2 linked regions of the Lepisosteus oculatus genome follow. The protein of the gene in region 2 interacts with the protein of the main gene of each other region in a pairwise test. Links are inferred from orthologs where the notes say so. Each region holds a gene or a part of one and is shown on either strand. Other genes may lie near its edges.

What was found.
Region 1: the proteins of trim37 (region 2) and protein FAM124B interact in a two-hybrid assay, tested with the Homo sapiens proteins (2 studies listed by BioGRID and IntAct). The link is inferred for Lepisosteus oculatus from reciprocal best matches to the Homo sapiens genes TRIM37 and FAM124B.

The regions. Positions count from the first base shown.
Region 1 is NC_090708.1:6,845,219-6,853,112, reverse strand, and holds the start of protein FAM124B, read right to left. Parts: upstream 3,028-7,894; 5' UTR 2,587-3,027; coding exon 2,525-2,586; coding exon of another isoform or gene 2,521-2,524; intron 1-2,520. Other genes in the region: cul3b (cullin-3b), read right to left, coding at 5,741-5,872, 6,103-6,248, 6,769-6,955, 7,249-7,383, 7,548-7,644.
Region 2 is NC_090721.1:715,580-722,912, forward strand, and holds the start of trim37 (E3 ubiquitin-protein ligase TRIM37), read right to left. Parts: upstream 3,107-7,333; 5' UTR 2,803-3,106; intron 1,390-2,802; 5' UTR 1,325-1,389; coding exon 1,250-1,324; intron 1-1,249. Other genes in the region: high affinity immunoglobulin gamma Fc receptor I-like, read right to left, coding at 5,596-5,780, 6,117-6,404, 6,506-6,772, 7,148-7,333. UniProt on the Homo sapiens protein: E3 ubiquitin-protein ligase required to prevent centriole reduplication. Probably acts by ubiquitinating positive regulators of centriole reduplication.

The DNA of each region.
Region 1 (7,894 bases), on a different chromosome or scaffold from region 2:
TTGGCCCTATCTGTACCCCTTAGGATTCCGTATACTGTGCTTGGACCACAATTCCTCTCCTTCTCCTCTGTTCTAAACACAAGTGGTATATCTCCTTTAACATCTAAGCTGTCTCCTGAGTCATTCTTCTCCAAGCTCTTTCTTTTTGTGATATGGTGGCCAAAGTCGAATATTATTCCAAATGAGATCCTTCTAAGGCACTGCCAATCTTGAGCAAGTCCCTCGACTTTAATTCCACACTTTTAGCTAGAAAGCCAAGCATTATGTTTTTTTTTTTTAATGCTTCCCTACATTGTCTTGATGAGCACTTGGAAGATTGTACATAAATATCCACATCCCTTTCATGTGTAGCATCCTGTAGCTGAGGACCTTCCTTTTGAGGTGTACAGTGTATGTTCCTACTTCCTGAGTGGTTCATTTTGCACTAGAAGTTAAATTAGATTTGCCAACCATCCAAACTTCCCATACTTTTGGGCCTTTGGACTTGGACCGTGCTGTTTCAGAGGTGAATTCATTTTGATCCTTTCAAACTAGATTTTTAAAATACAGTATAACCATCTGTCTTCTATTGACTCTGAATGGAGTTGTTTTCAGCCCACTGCTTGCAAGCTCTGCTTCATTCCAGTGTAGTCTGCTTTTCTGAATTTATAAGTTTTGGAAATTTAAACTACACTTCAAAAGATATCCAATTACAGTTATGATTTTCCACTGGATCTATCACATCTATTCCATTAACTATATCCTGCTTGTTTGAAAGGCTGCAAGACCACTTTCCCTTGTTTGAGCTTTTTCCAAAGTGGGTTAAGAAGCAACCATTAATCATTTGAACATACTACTCTCAGCTTTTGCATTCTTCATCACAATATTCCATTGTACGTGTAGAAAATTTAATTCTCTCAGTAATATAACATCACCTTTGTTACGTACATTACTGATTTCATAGAACAGTAAGATACTTGTGCCCATGTCAGCATTAGTTTATAGAAGACACTTGTTTACTGTTACACTCTTTGAACTTCTGTTTTGTAGCTCAATCCATGGCGAGTCAAAACTACCTTTACCCTCTTGCTTATGTTTTCTAGTTTGCGGTTTATTTTTAATGTAAAGTCTGACTGCCACCACTGCTTCTTTCCTACCCATCTTTTCTGATACAAATACATAACCAACAGTATTTCTTTTACATTCATCCACCTGCTTTACCCTAACCTTACTTAAGTTAGTCCTGTCAGTTTGATTTCCTGTTAGTACAGCAACCAGCCTTGAGTTCTTACACTGTATACCCCCAGTTCCTCAAAAGGGTAAGTATAAGCATTTACGTGTAAGTGCTGGTTTTAGATCAATCTTTGTGTTGCTCAGTACGTTCCTGGACCCACCAGAATAAGGTTGGTTTATTGAGAACCATGTTACCAGTTCCGTTAACTTTAAACTCAAATTAAACTTTACATTTTAAATATCAACTAAACACAGAGCTCTACAACTGTCTTCTTCAAACAATAAGTCAATTACTGCTTTGCCTTTGGGTGGGGTATTTTCTCAGTTCACAACTGTGTCGTCCAAGTCTACAGCAACCAAACCAGTCTTGTAATAAAAGCACTTCCTAACCATAAAGCAATCCTCCCCCGTTCGTATTTTTCTGCCTGTGCCTGACTGAATCAAGAGCTGTGGATTTTTAAGCCCCGTTATCGTAACTAAAGGTTTAAGTTTTTTTCTTTTAAAGTAACCTAAAAATGTCAAGGAAGAAAACGCGGATTGTTTCAACGCCTCAATCTTGCAGGGGTGCTGAATAGCTCAGGTTACCAGGACAACTCTTGTTTACACTCCCCTGCTCAGTGGAGTTTATGGCACGAAAACGGTGGTGTGAATGTTTAAACACGCCGCAAGTTTTATTATATAAGGTGAAGTGGAAAATATCTAAACTTTTTATTTCAAGTGTATGTAAGAAAATAAATGCATTTTTTTTTCTTCTTCAGATGCATAAGTCATTGAATGTCAAGCACCAGGACCAGTCCGACAGAAACCCACGCAACGATAAAAAAAAATACTAAAGACGTGATCCACACATATCCCTCTACATTGAAATACGATTTGATTTAGGATATATGTAAGCGCGATAAAAACCTACGTAAAACGAAAGAAAAAACCCACACCTGTTTGTTAAATAAACGAAGATGTTTTAAAAAAACGCAGACTGTTTTATTCAGTCAAGTCCAAATTCGCGACAGCGCAGTGTAAACAGTTCAGAAGTATAATTTTAATTAGACTATTTGTGAAGTAATCTTGTTTAAAAGTACGACATAATCCTGCCGCAAAATACACAAACTGGGCTAACGTGAACTGCTTTTTGTTTTAATGTGCTTGTAACTAGGCAGCCTCAAGGGCGACACAGTACACTGTTGCTTTCCGTTTAAAGGACAACACCATCTTTCAAGGCAGAGCAACGCACGACAGATCCGCTTAGAGACGAAGAAACAAACCAAGCTTACGTTCAAGTCACAACAGAAACTTGTTACCAAAATTCACCTACTCGGCGGTCTCTGCCCCGGAATCGGCATATTCATCTTCGCCTCGGTTGCCTTTCCGTAGCATTGTCTACAACGTCCTCCCCGCACCAAGCCTTGCAGAAAAATAATGCGCTAAAAACACATTGCCGTCTCATGGAATGAGACGCCACTCCGCTCTTCTTCAGGACGGACCTGGACCCAGGGCCCTGACGTCATGCATCCCCCGCTTCCATTTACTGCTTTCCCCGATTTCCGTCACATGAGAGCTGCTGGCAGCTCCAGCCCGCACGTTTTCGCTGGGCGGCCGACGAAGAGCCTTTCGGCTGCACAGAAACTGAAGCGCACAACCGCTTCAGATCGCAGAGTACTCCTCCTACGGTGCATGCATCTGCCTTCCTTATCGTGCGCCAGATGGCACTCATCTCGGACGGCAGGACAAAGAGTAGCCCGAGACGGGGTTCAATAGGTTTCCGAGAGCAGCAGCGAACTTGTATTGTGCTCGGCTGATCCGCGTAGGACACCGTCTGTATGTTCACATGACCCTCTATTATTGACAGCGTGGAAAGGGCCACTCACTTTTAAATCGGGGAAAATGAAACCCTTAATGCGAGGTGCTTACTGTGAAAAATTAGATGATACATGCCTTTATGCCAGGAGGCACTGCTAGATGGGCTGAAACGACTGTTCAGAAATAATCAGGGCAAGTCCTAGCCGAAGAAGGAATTCAATTTGAGTTGGATAAACGAGTTATATTGAAAAGACCTCCCTTTCACGAAAAGTACTGCCTGAACTCGGTCTTTTCATTAACAATTAAAAGTCTTGTTTACGCATAACAGAGTGGTGGTTTTTGGCGAGACTCATTTGAGCAATTTAGTTACTTCAAAGTTTTTATTTCCTTTCACTATAAAGGAGAAGGAAATGGTTTGAGAGCAGGGTAGCGTGAGAGGGAGAACAAAACATGCATCGAGAAATGCAAATAATCTGATTGTATACAAAATATTGTTCTTGTGAAATGATGGCAACAAACCTGTTCCTAAAAACTACTTTTATATAGTTTCATAATCTCATGTATGGGTTATCTTAATTATATAACTTAATAATTGTATCACTCAGATTAAAAGTTGTACCAAATTCAATTTGGTAAGTTTTGAAAGAAATCATCATAATCAAATAATCAGAATGTAGTAAACATTGTATACAGAAGTTTTCAAAAATGAGACCTGAAATTTAGCAGATATCTACAAAGACCAGTACAAAAAATTGATTTCCAGTGTAACTTTCTTTTCGCAGTTTATCATAAATATTTTGAATGATAAAGACAACTGAAGTAGAAATTACAAAATAAGAAAAACTACGTAAGGATAAAGTTGCAAGCTATAATTAATAAACTTCAAAATCAGTTGAATGTTTCTCATGGACAGTATATGGGGCGATTGATATGTGATGAATTCATACACAACATTAAAGGTCAGTCTGAGCAACTGATGTAGAAAAGACATATCTAGATAAACTTTCTTACAGTATTTCTGCAGTAGTATTGGGTGTTCTAGAGATGCATATATTTACAATATGTTGAATATTACAGTTCATTATAATATTTAACTTGAGAAAGGCTTGCTGTGGAAAATATAACCATTGTTTAGAGGGACAATTCAGGAAGTTCATTAAATCTAAAAGAGACCGTTTAACAGTCAAGAAATGAGTAGTCGATCTGCAGTTCTGCACTGCTTGGTTACACTGCAAATGTGAAGAAAAAATAGACTACTCTTGTTCTGAAATATGAGTTACGTCTATTTAGAGTTGCCCATCCTTTTTGCAAAACTCCCCCCATTTAGGAATAATGTGTTTTTCTTGGTTCACAGCTACAAGCACCATGGCCACACACCAGGGAAGAGGAAGGAGGCTACAGATCACAAGCAACACACAACACCGCCCCTTACAGGAAGCTTAGCGCCAAATGGAGAAGAGGTGTGTGCCTGGTGGAATTCACCACATGCCTGTAAGTGCCCAGAAGGCCAGAAGGGTTCCTGCGTCATTTAAAACAGAGCCCTGGCCACCTAATCCCATCCTACCCTCAGCAGTGCTCAGGCAATTGTGCGCCACATCTTGGGGAGTCCTCAGCAGCTGACTAGTGACATCACCCCAACGTGAACCCAAGATCATTTTGGCCTTTAGTCAACAGAGCCACTGGGGCCCCAGTAAGTTTTCATGTTAGATCCAAAGTGGTCTGTAGATAACTATAGTAACTGCGCTAAAAACTGCATTCAACACTAGTTTCAGAACTCCTTTTCTTTATTATGGTAAAATAATTTAAAATTAAAAACATATTGAATTATACTGAAATAACAGCACTGTTTTTGATTGCTGTGCTTGTTAAATATAAGAGTTTTAAAGAAAGAACAGTAAATCCACTTTTTTTTAATTTCCTTTTTCTACATTTAATACGATGAAAACAAGGCCCTGTACAATCCACTTCGGCAGTGAGTACAATAACAATTATTTTACAATTTATACACATTAAAACAGTTTTAATTTGGTTCCTTTTAAAATGTCAGAAAAACCTAACCCATTGAGAATTGCATTTGGAAGAACCTAATATCAAAAGGAACAAGCAATATTGTGCTGAAATTTCACAAGAGGCCCCACCAAAAACTCAGAGCTAGTGTAAGAGATACTCAGATTCATAAAATATAGCATGCTACAAAGCAATTCCCTTGTTCTTTGCAAATCAGCAATAAAAGTATTGTTATATATATTCATCATTTGGAGTAAAACCCTTGAAGCAGAATTTCATCCTGTTTGACATCAAACCTGTACAACCAGCGAGTTGCTACGAAACACTAAGAAAACACATTTACATTGACATTAAAAACTGGGGAGAAAAAAAATCAACAATTATTTTATTTGTGTTAATAGCAATCCACGTTTGCTAGTTTTTATTATTTTCTTATTTTTTACAGTATTGAAAACAAAATGCGGTGCATTCACATTTTTCCCAAGGAATTCTTTAATGTCGATCTCTACAAGGGTAAAACGGTGAAAAGCCTGAAGCTGGATCCATTCATGTTGAAAATTCTCACAGGGAATAAAGGCCTGATTTAAACAATCTAGAACACTTACTGGATTTTTTTTATTTTTTAAATGGAGGAGAAGTCATCGTCCCAGTATTTATAGTTAAAAGGAACTTCCCAGTTCATGCGAATAACATAGTCCAAAAATGGTGTCTCATCAAATGCACTTTATGCTACATAAGTATATACTTTACGATCCTCGGGTGTTCGCGCCAAATATTCTCTCTCAATAAGTCCTTCAATTCGTTTTTTAATGACAACTGGACTTGGTAAGAAACGCGCTCTCAGCTGCTGAGTCACCTGTGGGAATAAAAAAAATGAAATGGCTTAACTTTAATAATCAGTTTCCGATCATCAAAATTAATAAAATCATAGCATTTCATACAACTACTGATTAGAAAATTAGGAATAAAATTAATGATTTTATGTTCCGGTTGTTCTATAACATAATGCATTTATTGCCTTCTGCATGCAGTCTTGAAGTGGACCAGTTACAACTAAAACATAAGCCTTACTCTTCTTTAACCCACCTCTGCTACTAGCACATTGTGCTGCATCTTCTTTCTGGATTTCATGATGCGTACAATGGCAGCTTCAATCTCATGCTTTCTGTCGTCGTCTACCTTCTGCCGCGTTTCCTTTCTTTCAGGATCCGATTCTCCTTGTTTGGCTGCAACTGGATGAATTGAAGAAGAACAGAAAGACAATAACCGATCCCGGTCAGAAACGAAACAAAGTAGAAACAGGACAAGGGAACGCAGATGCCCGTCTCATTACTTTGACACGTTTTTGTAATGGCCTGGACCCACATGGATACACGTTGAGAAGAGAATAGAGTGTGCTCAGCAGACCACGTGTGAGCCTTCAGAGCTGGCAACCGGGAAAAACTCCCACCAGGATCTACATACATTCTGATGATTTCAATACATGTCCTCAATTACTGATGAGCTTGAACAATTTACCTGTTATAGTACAATCCCATTTATTTTTTTTAGGCAGTAGCAAGGCGGGTGAAATGTAGAAGGAGGAAACCTGCATGTTCAAATCCGGCTAGTACGTAACATTTTCATCCCACAATTATTGAAAAAAAAACACTTATAACATGGAGTACGTTTGGAGTACAGTTCACACGTTTTGTATGCCGAACAAATCTATTAAAACAACCTCCTAAAAGCTATTTAAGATTGTTTACATACCTGTTTGGATCTTTACTCTGTGCAATTTGGAAGTAAACTGATCATTGACTGTAAACACATGCCCGTTCTCAATTTCCTTCGACTTGGGCTCTTTAGTAAGGACCCGCTGTGTTGGCTTTCCACATGCCAGCGACTGAAGAGCTCTGACAAGTTCTCTCTCAGGGATATCCGTCTCCTGCTGAATTTCCTGATGTCACAAACACCAACAAAGACATTTAGCACACAGAAAATAAGCCCTAAGTGGATGGAAACAGGGTGTAAGCAGTGGCGCCATTTTAGATTTTAAACACTTGCTTCAGCTCATTACCAGCATTTCAAGTTAATCAAGATAAAATAACTGTAAAAATGTCTTCCTGTCCTCTGGTTCCATGACCTCTGGATTTGCATTTGAAATGTAGTGTTCTAGTAATTGACAAGGAATTATGAACCAATGAATTTATGGCAGGTCAAAACAGCCTGCGTGCAAGATGAGAAACTTACCTCAAATGTGTATTTTTCTCTGTTGTTAAAGAGCATTAAAATTGTCATCTGAAATGTTGAAACCTGTAGTATGTGCTTTCTGGTGTTAGATCCTGTCACTTGAGCTCCTCCTACTCCGACCTCTGAACCATCCTCCTGAAATAAAAAGAATGTATTAAATATACACTTTACACAACTATAGAGCAGAGATATAAACATCTGTTATAAAGACCTGGGTTTTCAACATGTTTTATGCTCAGAACATACACTTTAGAAAAAGAATAGTCTAGATATTACAAATTATAGAAATATAATTATACCTTTTTAATCGGGCCATAAAAAGTAGCATTTAAATCAGCAGAGCCCATATGATGCTGGAGTGTAAGCTGTCGACCACTGTGTTTCGCCAAGTAAAACCTGGTTTAATTAAAAAGAAAGATAATTTTCAGTTATTATTTAACTAACAATTATAGCATTATAGTGTGGGACTGATTACACAACATAATAGCTGAGCAAAGAAAAAACTGGCACACAATTAGCACTTTAAGATCTCATGAAGAATCATTATGGTCTTCAACATACCACAGAAATAACACATATCTGTCTTGTTTTTAAGAAAATTAAAATGACCAAAAACTGGTTAAAAATAAAGAACCAAGAGAAAGAA
Region 2 (7,333 bases):
TATGCTGCTGAATGACTATGCTTTTTCTTCTTTTCCACACTTCCAGGAGGGCTCCACCAGACAGGCAGCACCTAGGAGGACAGATCGAGCTCCATGCTCCGCTCTGCCACTAGTCTCTGTGTGAGCGCTGACACTGCAGGGTTAGTATTGGTGAGCTGGGCTCTCCCAGCACCAAGGGCCACACCTGCAACCTGCTGGGAGCCTGCAGGCTGGCAGTGATATGGGCTGGAGGCTGACTGTTCCTCTGAGAGGCTCAAACCTCCTGCAAGGGTCTGTGGAGCCAAAGGACAGCTGGCTCAGCTGGTGGGCTCGACGGAGGAGCAAACCCATGCATCTCATTCATTCTCCCGAGGGGGTACAGGAGTCATGGCTGGAGAGTCCCGTCTTAAACACAACACACCATTCCAAATGGGGTGGATATACATTATATGAAATGCTGGGAAATTCCCTCAATCTGATATAGCCACCACCTGGAGTGCAGGCTGGGCTCCACTGTCCCAAGGTTGTTGGCGCACATTTTACACTAACATGAACCCATAGCAAAGTAAAGATAACTGGACAAGAGGTGTTAGGTTACAAATGCACAAACTTGCACATGGTTTTGAGCTTTCTGCCATGGCAATTAACCAGCATTTCCATTAGCTTTAAGAGTTGACAGTCTGAGAAGAGCAGGTCTTCTGTGTGTAGATTTCAGAGAAGCTGTGCATGCTGTCCTGGTGTTCAGACTGGGACTGCAGCAGAGCTCTTCTGATAACAGCAAATCCAACTTTAAAATGAACAACACTATCTAACCAAGGTAAAATACTAACAAAAGGATTCTTATCATCATCTGCAAAAGGGAATGACTGACACTTAAAACAAACCCTGGCGGTACTTGTTAAGACCTTCAAATAACTCATACTAGCACAGCAAATGAAATCAATTCTCATTAAGGTCAGACCCCAATCCAGTTAAAGAGCTGGCTGAGCTCACTGTATTCAGAAGAGTGAAATGCTAGTTTGAAATAAAGCTGTCATGGGAGTGGGCAGGTTTAAAATCACAGAACCACCAGGCTGCATACAGTCAGAAAGGGGAGTGTGGGGAGTCCATCACCTGCTTCTTCAATAACCAAGATATCCACCTAATAAGTCTACTGCAGACATGCCCTGGGGTTTGTACCTGCACCCAAACTCAGTTTAGGTTCAAACTCAGGTTTAAAGAAAATGAGAAACCCTTAAGGTAAAGGCAAGAGCTCTTCATTTTAACTCACAAAGCAGGCAGACCCAGGACTTCCTGCTACACGGACGCCCACGTTCTGACCCACCTCCACACTTTGCTCGTCCATTTCAGACGGTTTTCAACCTGCTTGGTATCCTCAGGTGGAAAACAAAAAGCCGCTCAACCCAACACCTGTGAAAAGAGCATTACTGAATAAGACTTAGAAGTCTGCCTTTAACAAACGTTAAGACAAAATAGGCTCTTTAAACTTTCCAAGCACTGGCATGCTATCCAAGCCACCATCCAAACCTCATATTGCAAAGGATTTTAAATTAGAATGAACACAAGCTATTTGATCCTTTAAACCACATTCTGAGTGTACAGTATATCTAGAAGAGTAAATACGTGACGGAAAACATTTTCAAGCTTAGTGCACTTACAAGATACACAGTGTCAGAGAGAAACGGTGAAAATGGCATCGCCTTCTGCACTTCTTTAGGGCCTTACCATAATACCTCTAGAGATTAATACCTCTGGGATACTGACAGTATACCAACCTGTTCACATTATATAATTTATTTCTTGTCTCTAAATTACTTAGTCTCTTTTCAAAATGGTATAGTCCTTCCATGTGACTGCTTAAAAAGGCAGAGATTCTCCAGCTCCTCGATTCGCCCCTATTTTTATTTATGAGGGTTGCTTGTTGGCTCTGAGGGTTGTAATCACTCGAAAGCGCTATGGCTACAAACTGTGGTCAGAGCCCTCCGAAAGCCCAGACGTCCATTCTTCTGGGAAATGGGCAGGAGCTCAAACACCTGCCGCCAGATTTCTGGGGGTCTGCAGGGTTTCAGACGAGATTTAGCACGTAAAGCGCATTCGGACTCAGGCACAAGGCTATTTGTAACGACAATGCGGGCAGGTCTCAGGCACCACTGAGACTGCAACCTGCCAGCTCTGCGTTAGATCACACTCATCCCTCCACAAAAATGTATTTTACCCACGGCAGCCTGAAAACGTGGCTTCAAAACACGAAGCGTGCGGATGCCTTTCGCCATTTTGGGGATTCTAATTGTGGGGGGTAAATCGGGAAATATCTAACCTGAGCGGCTTGTGTTTGGCAAACCATGAAACAGGCTTAGCAATCCTTCTCCACGCCTATGCAGAGACCCAAAATGAAGAAGACAGGGCCGTCTGCGAGCGGCCCTGAACGCTGCAGGTATGGAGTCTCGCAGGGGGTCTGTCCTGAGGTGCATCCCAGGCAGCTCCCAGACACAGCGCTCCTCCGAAACCTGCTGCGTCTGGCTTTAGCTATCCAGCAAATTACAGCCCGCCTGCCCTTCAGGGGAGACCTGCTCTCTGCAAGTTGTGCCTAACTCGTTGCTACTGAAGAAAGGACCCAAAACAAACTTCATTGAGATGTTAAACGAAGCGCAGCCCCCTCCCCTCCCGGGGGTGCCGAGAGGCTGGGCACTCGCTGGAGGACTGGCGGTGGGTTGGACGCGGGCAGGGGTGTTGGAAAACCCGGACCCCCACACTGCCCAGGACGCTGGCCGGGTCCAGAGGCGGGCTGGGCAGCATGCAGGGAGCCGGGAGAGCGGTACTTACGTCGCCGGGGCTCGGAGGTGCCCAGCCGGGCGGTCAGCCGCGGCTCTGCAGAGGTGAGGGCGGAGCGCTGAGCACCCACCCCGCCGCCTGTCTCTCACACACACACACACAACGGGCTGGTGGGAAAATAACAACGCCTAAGCGCTCGTTTTGCCGTTATTTCCTATCTTTTAAACGTTAGCTCCTGCACCCCACCTCCATTCTCCTTCCCCCTCGCCAGTCACAGCTACTGGTCACCATTGGAGACCGTTTCGCCCCCCCCACCTCTCTCTCGCGAGGCCGCCGGAAGCCGCTGAAATCCTCGCTCGCCAATGGCAGAGAGAAGAGGGGGCGGGATCTCGCGTCGCAGAAGGGCCGCGTCGCTTTTCCCCTCCCCCTGAACTCGGGGGACACGCCCCCTGGTCTGGTGGGCGTGAAGGGGGTGTGGCTTTCGTGACACATCTCCGCTGCGATTGGTCAGGTGCCGAGAGGCTTTCAGAGTGGAGCGCAAGCCAGTCACCGACGCCTTGGTACTTTTTCCATCTGTATCCAATCACAGCGGCTTCCGCTGAAGCCACACCCCCGCGGCCTGCCCAGACAGTAATGAGGAGGCTCTCCTCAGGAATTGGGGTAGGGAAAAGAAAGACGTCAGACAGCCAAAGGGATTAGAGGCGCTTCCGTTAGCAGGAGAGGCGGGTTCGAAGCGTCCTCAAATCTTGCGCGTCACCCCAGCTGCACAGGTGGGGGTCCTGGGGTCTCCGTGTGAGCGCGCTTCATTGCATAACCACAGACAGTGCGGAGAGAGATAAACAACATGAACGGTGCTCGCATGCGAACGTCGGTTCACCTTAAATCCCTTTAGATCGGCACAACATTGCAAAAATATCAATGTCTTTATCATTTAATCTTACATGCCAACACGTGAAATTGAAGACAAGCTACGTATATTATTATAGCTGCGCCTAACTGAAGGAAGTATGCAGCAAACTGAAACGCAGTTCCATAATGGAAAATTATAGGCACCCTTAATCTTCAATATATTAATAAAATTACTAGGTGTATTCATTAAATACAGCTGAGACATATATGAGTGTCATAATTGCAATAGTTAGCAAAGCTGTCTCACAGGTCTTGGGTCTTGGCTTTGATTTGTGACCTGGTGCGCCTTCCGTGTGGAGTTTGCATGTTCTCCTGGGTTTCCTCCCGGGTACAACAGCAGGCGGATTCTCCCTGTGTGTGTCCTGGGGGTGTCCAGCCTCGAGCCTGGTGCCTGCTGGGCTCAACGTTAAGCGTTCCTTGCGAAGGGGTTGGCGGAGGTGAGATGCTCCAGGCTCGGCTCTGCCGTGACGCCCCCGCGGAGGAGCCTCGCTCTGCAACGCAGGAGGTCTCCCCTGCTCTCCAGGGGGAAGTGACCCACATGCTAAATGCGGGATGCCCGGGGGGGGCGCGCAGCCGGATCATCCTCTCTGGCTGCGGGGAGCCTTGATCAACGAGCCGGTTCTGACGTCTCAGGTGACCGCGGGCTAATTGAAGCGTTTCGTGAGGTGAGCTCCATCGGGACCTCGGCTCTCACTCGCAGGGAGGATCCCTGTAGGCTTTCTTGGGAATGACAACTGGAATCCACCCTCCGTGCTCAACCCAATAATCACTGCTCTGCTCGCAGCTCAGTCTCTGCTCTTGGCCCTGGACTTGTCATTACTGTTTTAAAACCCACGTTTGATCAACAGCCCTCCCGCCAATAAACGCTTCTGTTGGGATACAAAAGTAACAACACCGAAAGCATATATCATATCGTATCATATCAAGCATAAAGCAAATCGGGCGGAGCAGTGGCTCTGTGACTACTCCGTTGGGCCCCGGAGCAAGGCCCTTAACCCTAACTGCTCCAGGGGCGCCGTACAATGGCAGACCCTGCGCTCTGACCCCAAGCTTCTCTCCCTGTCTGTGTCTCCTTGGAGAAAAGCTGGGGTATGTGAAAAGACGAATTCCTAATGCAAGAAATTGTATAGGGCTAATAAAGAAACATTATTATTATTATTACATTATTATTAACAACATATATAGTTCCCAGGGATTCATTTTGGCTCATCTTCTGATCCGGAAAACTCAATTTTCCCTCCTCTTTAGGTCAGATTTCCCTTCAGTTAGGCACAGGATATCCCCATGAACACATGGGCATGTGTTTTGGCTTCATCTAAAATATCCTCACAGTCACTATGCCTCTGAGCAAAGCCAGCAGCAGGCCTTCTATTAAACAGAGCCGGGACACGTAAACCAGCAGAGCAACAGAGAGAGCAGAAGGCCAGTGGCCTGTGCATCAGAGACACACGGAGTTCAGAGTTTCCGACACCCATCTCCAGCCCCTGACTGGCACCAGCAGAGCCAGGCTCATCCTCAGGGCTACACCACACAGTACCAAGAGCTGGACAGTTGAAGAGAAATCCAAAACAAACATTAGATTAGAATCAAAGCAAGATTTTCGTTTATTGTTGTTAATGCTGTAATTCAATTTCTTTTCCTGGTTTGCCAAACACAGAGGAATGCAGAAAGGTATTTCTATTATTTTCTAATATGCGGAAATAATAATCAAAGTCTCTGACTTACTTTAAAAGGACAGACTGGCTGGTTAACAGATCTTTCCAGGTCCACTGCCTCTAGGCCTCTATGCATTGATGTTGGTTAATTGCTTCCAATTATCTTGCAAAAAAGTATGAATCACTGAAGTTGTCTGATGTACTATGTCAGTGATTGCATATTATCACTGTGCTGGTGCTGAACTCCCTCTGCAGAGTCCCTGCTGAAATAAGGGAATCTTTACAGAGTTGTATTTCCTGGGGTCATGGCCTCCCATGCTGAGGACTCTGTGAGGTTCCAGAAGCTGGACGGCGAGGTCTCTGGCGACGGGCTCTGGCTGCTGCCGGGAGAGTTCTGGGCCTGTGTGGGGTCCGTGGGATGCTCTGGTCTGCTGGGCCCTGTGGACTCCAGCTCGGCCTCCTCGTCTGTGAATGAAGCACAGGTGAGCAGGAGGAGGCCGAGCGTGTCAGGCAGACCAGTACATTTTAATTTCTCATTCTCTCTGGAAATGAATTCATATTCCTGTGGGGCCACGCCTGGTGATTCGGCACCCAATCAGGCTGAGAAGTGACCTTACTGGGCCAGACTGCAGAACCCCAGCCCGGCCTCCAGGGTTAACACTCCTACTCTTCTGAAAAGGGCCGGGGGATAGTCAGGGCCCAGGCCTAGCTTCTCAACCGAGTGGGGGCACAGTGTCCTCGGACAGCACACTGGAGCGCCACCTCCTGGTCCACTGGTGCCGAGCTGCCCTGGGGACTCACCCTCGATCACCCGCACCAGCACCGGCTCGCTGCTCTTCCCCAGGCCCAGCCCGTCCACCGTCGCCCGGCACCAGTAGCGCCCCGAGTGGCGGGCGGCGGCGCTCCGCACCACGTGGCGGTCCTGGGACGAGGCCACGCCCAGCCGCTGGCCGCCCCTCAGGAAGCTGTAGCGCAGCCTCAGGCCCGGCCTGCGGGGGGTCAGCTGGGCCCGGCAGCGCAGCACCAGGTCCTGCCCCCGCCGGACAGGGGTCTCCGTCAGCACCTCCATCACCGGCTCGCTCAGCAGGTCTGGTCAGCAGACGGACAGGGTCAGAGAGGGCAGCTGGGGCGGCATGAGAATGAGCCGCTGCTCTTTTCTGGAGAGCATCTGAGATCGGCCACGCGCTCACCTCTGACGGACACGCCGACCTCGGGGGACTCCGCAGTCTTCCAGCCCCACCTCTTCCCCCAGGTGGCCCGGCACCCGTAGAGCCCCTCGTCCCGGGGCGAGAGGCTGGCCAGGTGCAGCTGGGGGCCGCTCTGCCTCGCCAGCACCCGGCCGTCCTTGTGGAAGACCACCTGCTGCAGCCTGGGGTTGCCGCGGACACGGCAGGTCAGGGTGGCTCCGGCGCCGCGGAGCAGCGGCTGTGGAGGAGTCTGCAGGATCACCCAGCCGCCTGCGGGCAGGAGGCACAAGCTCAGGGCAGGCCTGACCGCTGGGCCAGCCCCACCAGCCACCACCCTGCAGCCCTGAGACGCCAACCCCCTCTCAGCGCTTCCCAGTTCTCTAATTCATCAGCTACTGCGCCACCAGCGAGCTCCTGTGGCAGGTCTGACGCCACTGTCCTCACTCATCCCGCAATCGCGCTGTGTCACGGGGTCACCCGCGCTGGGCCTGCAGCACCACACAGCGCACGCGGCACGAGACCGGGAGACAGTGCTCACAGCTGGGAGTCTGGGGAACAGGAGCCAGCCTCCTGGCAGGAAGTACAGCTGCCAGGATGGGTACCGAGGAGAGGAAAGGGAGGAATCGTGGCCCTGCTGGTTCTTACCGGTCACGCGGATGCTGATGGGCTCGCTCGGCAGGCTGCGCTGCGGCCAGGCCCGTGCCCGCAGGCCCTGGCAGGAGTACTGCCCACCGTGGTGAGGCAGGGCGGGCCTCAGTGTGTACCTCCCCTCCCCCACGGTGCCGAGCTGCTGCACTGGCGCCCCGTCTTTGTACCACACGAACGTCCAGC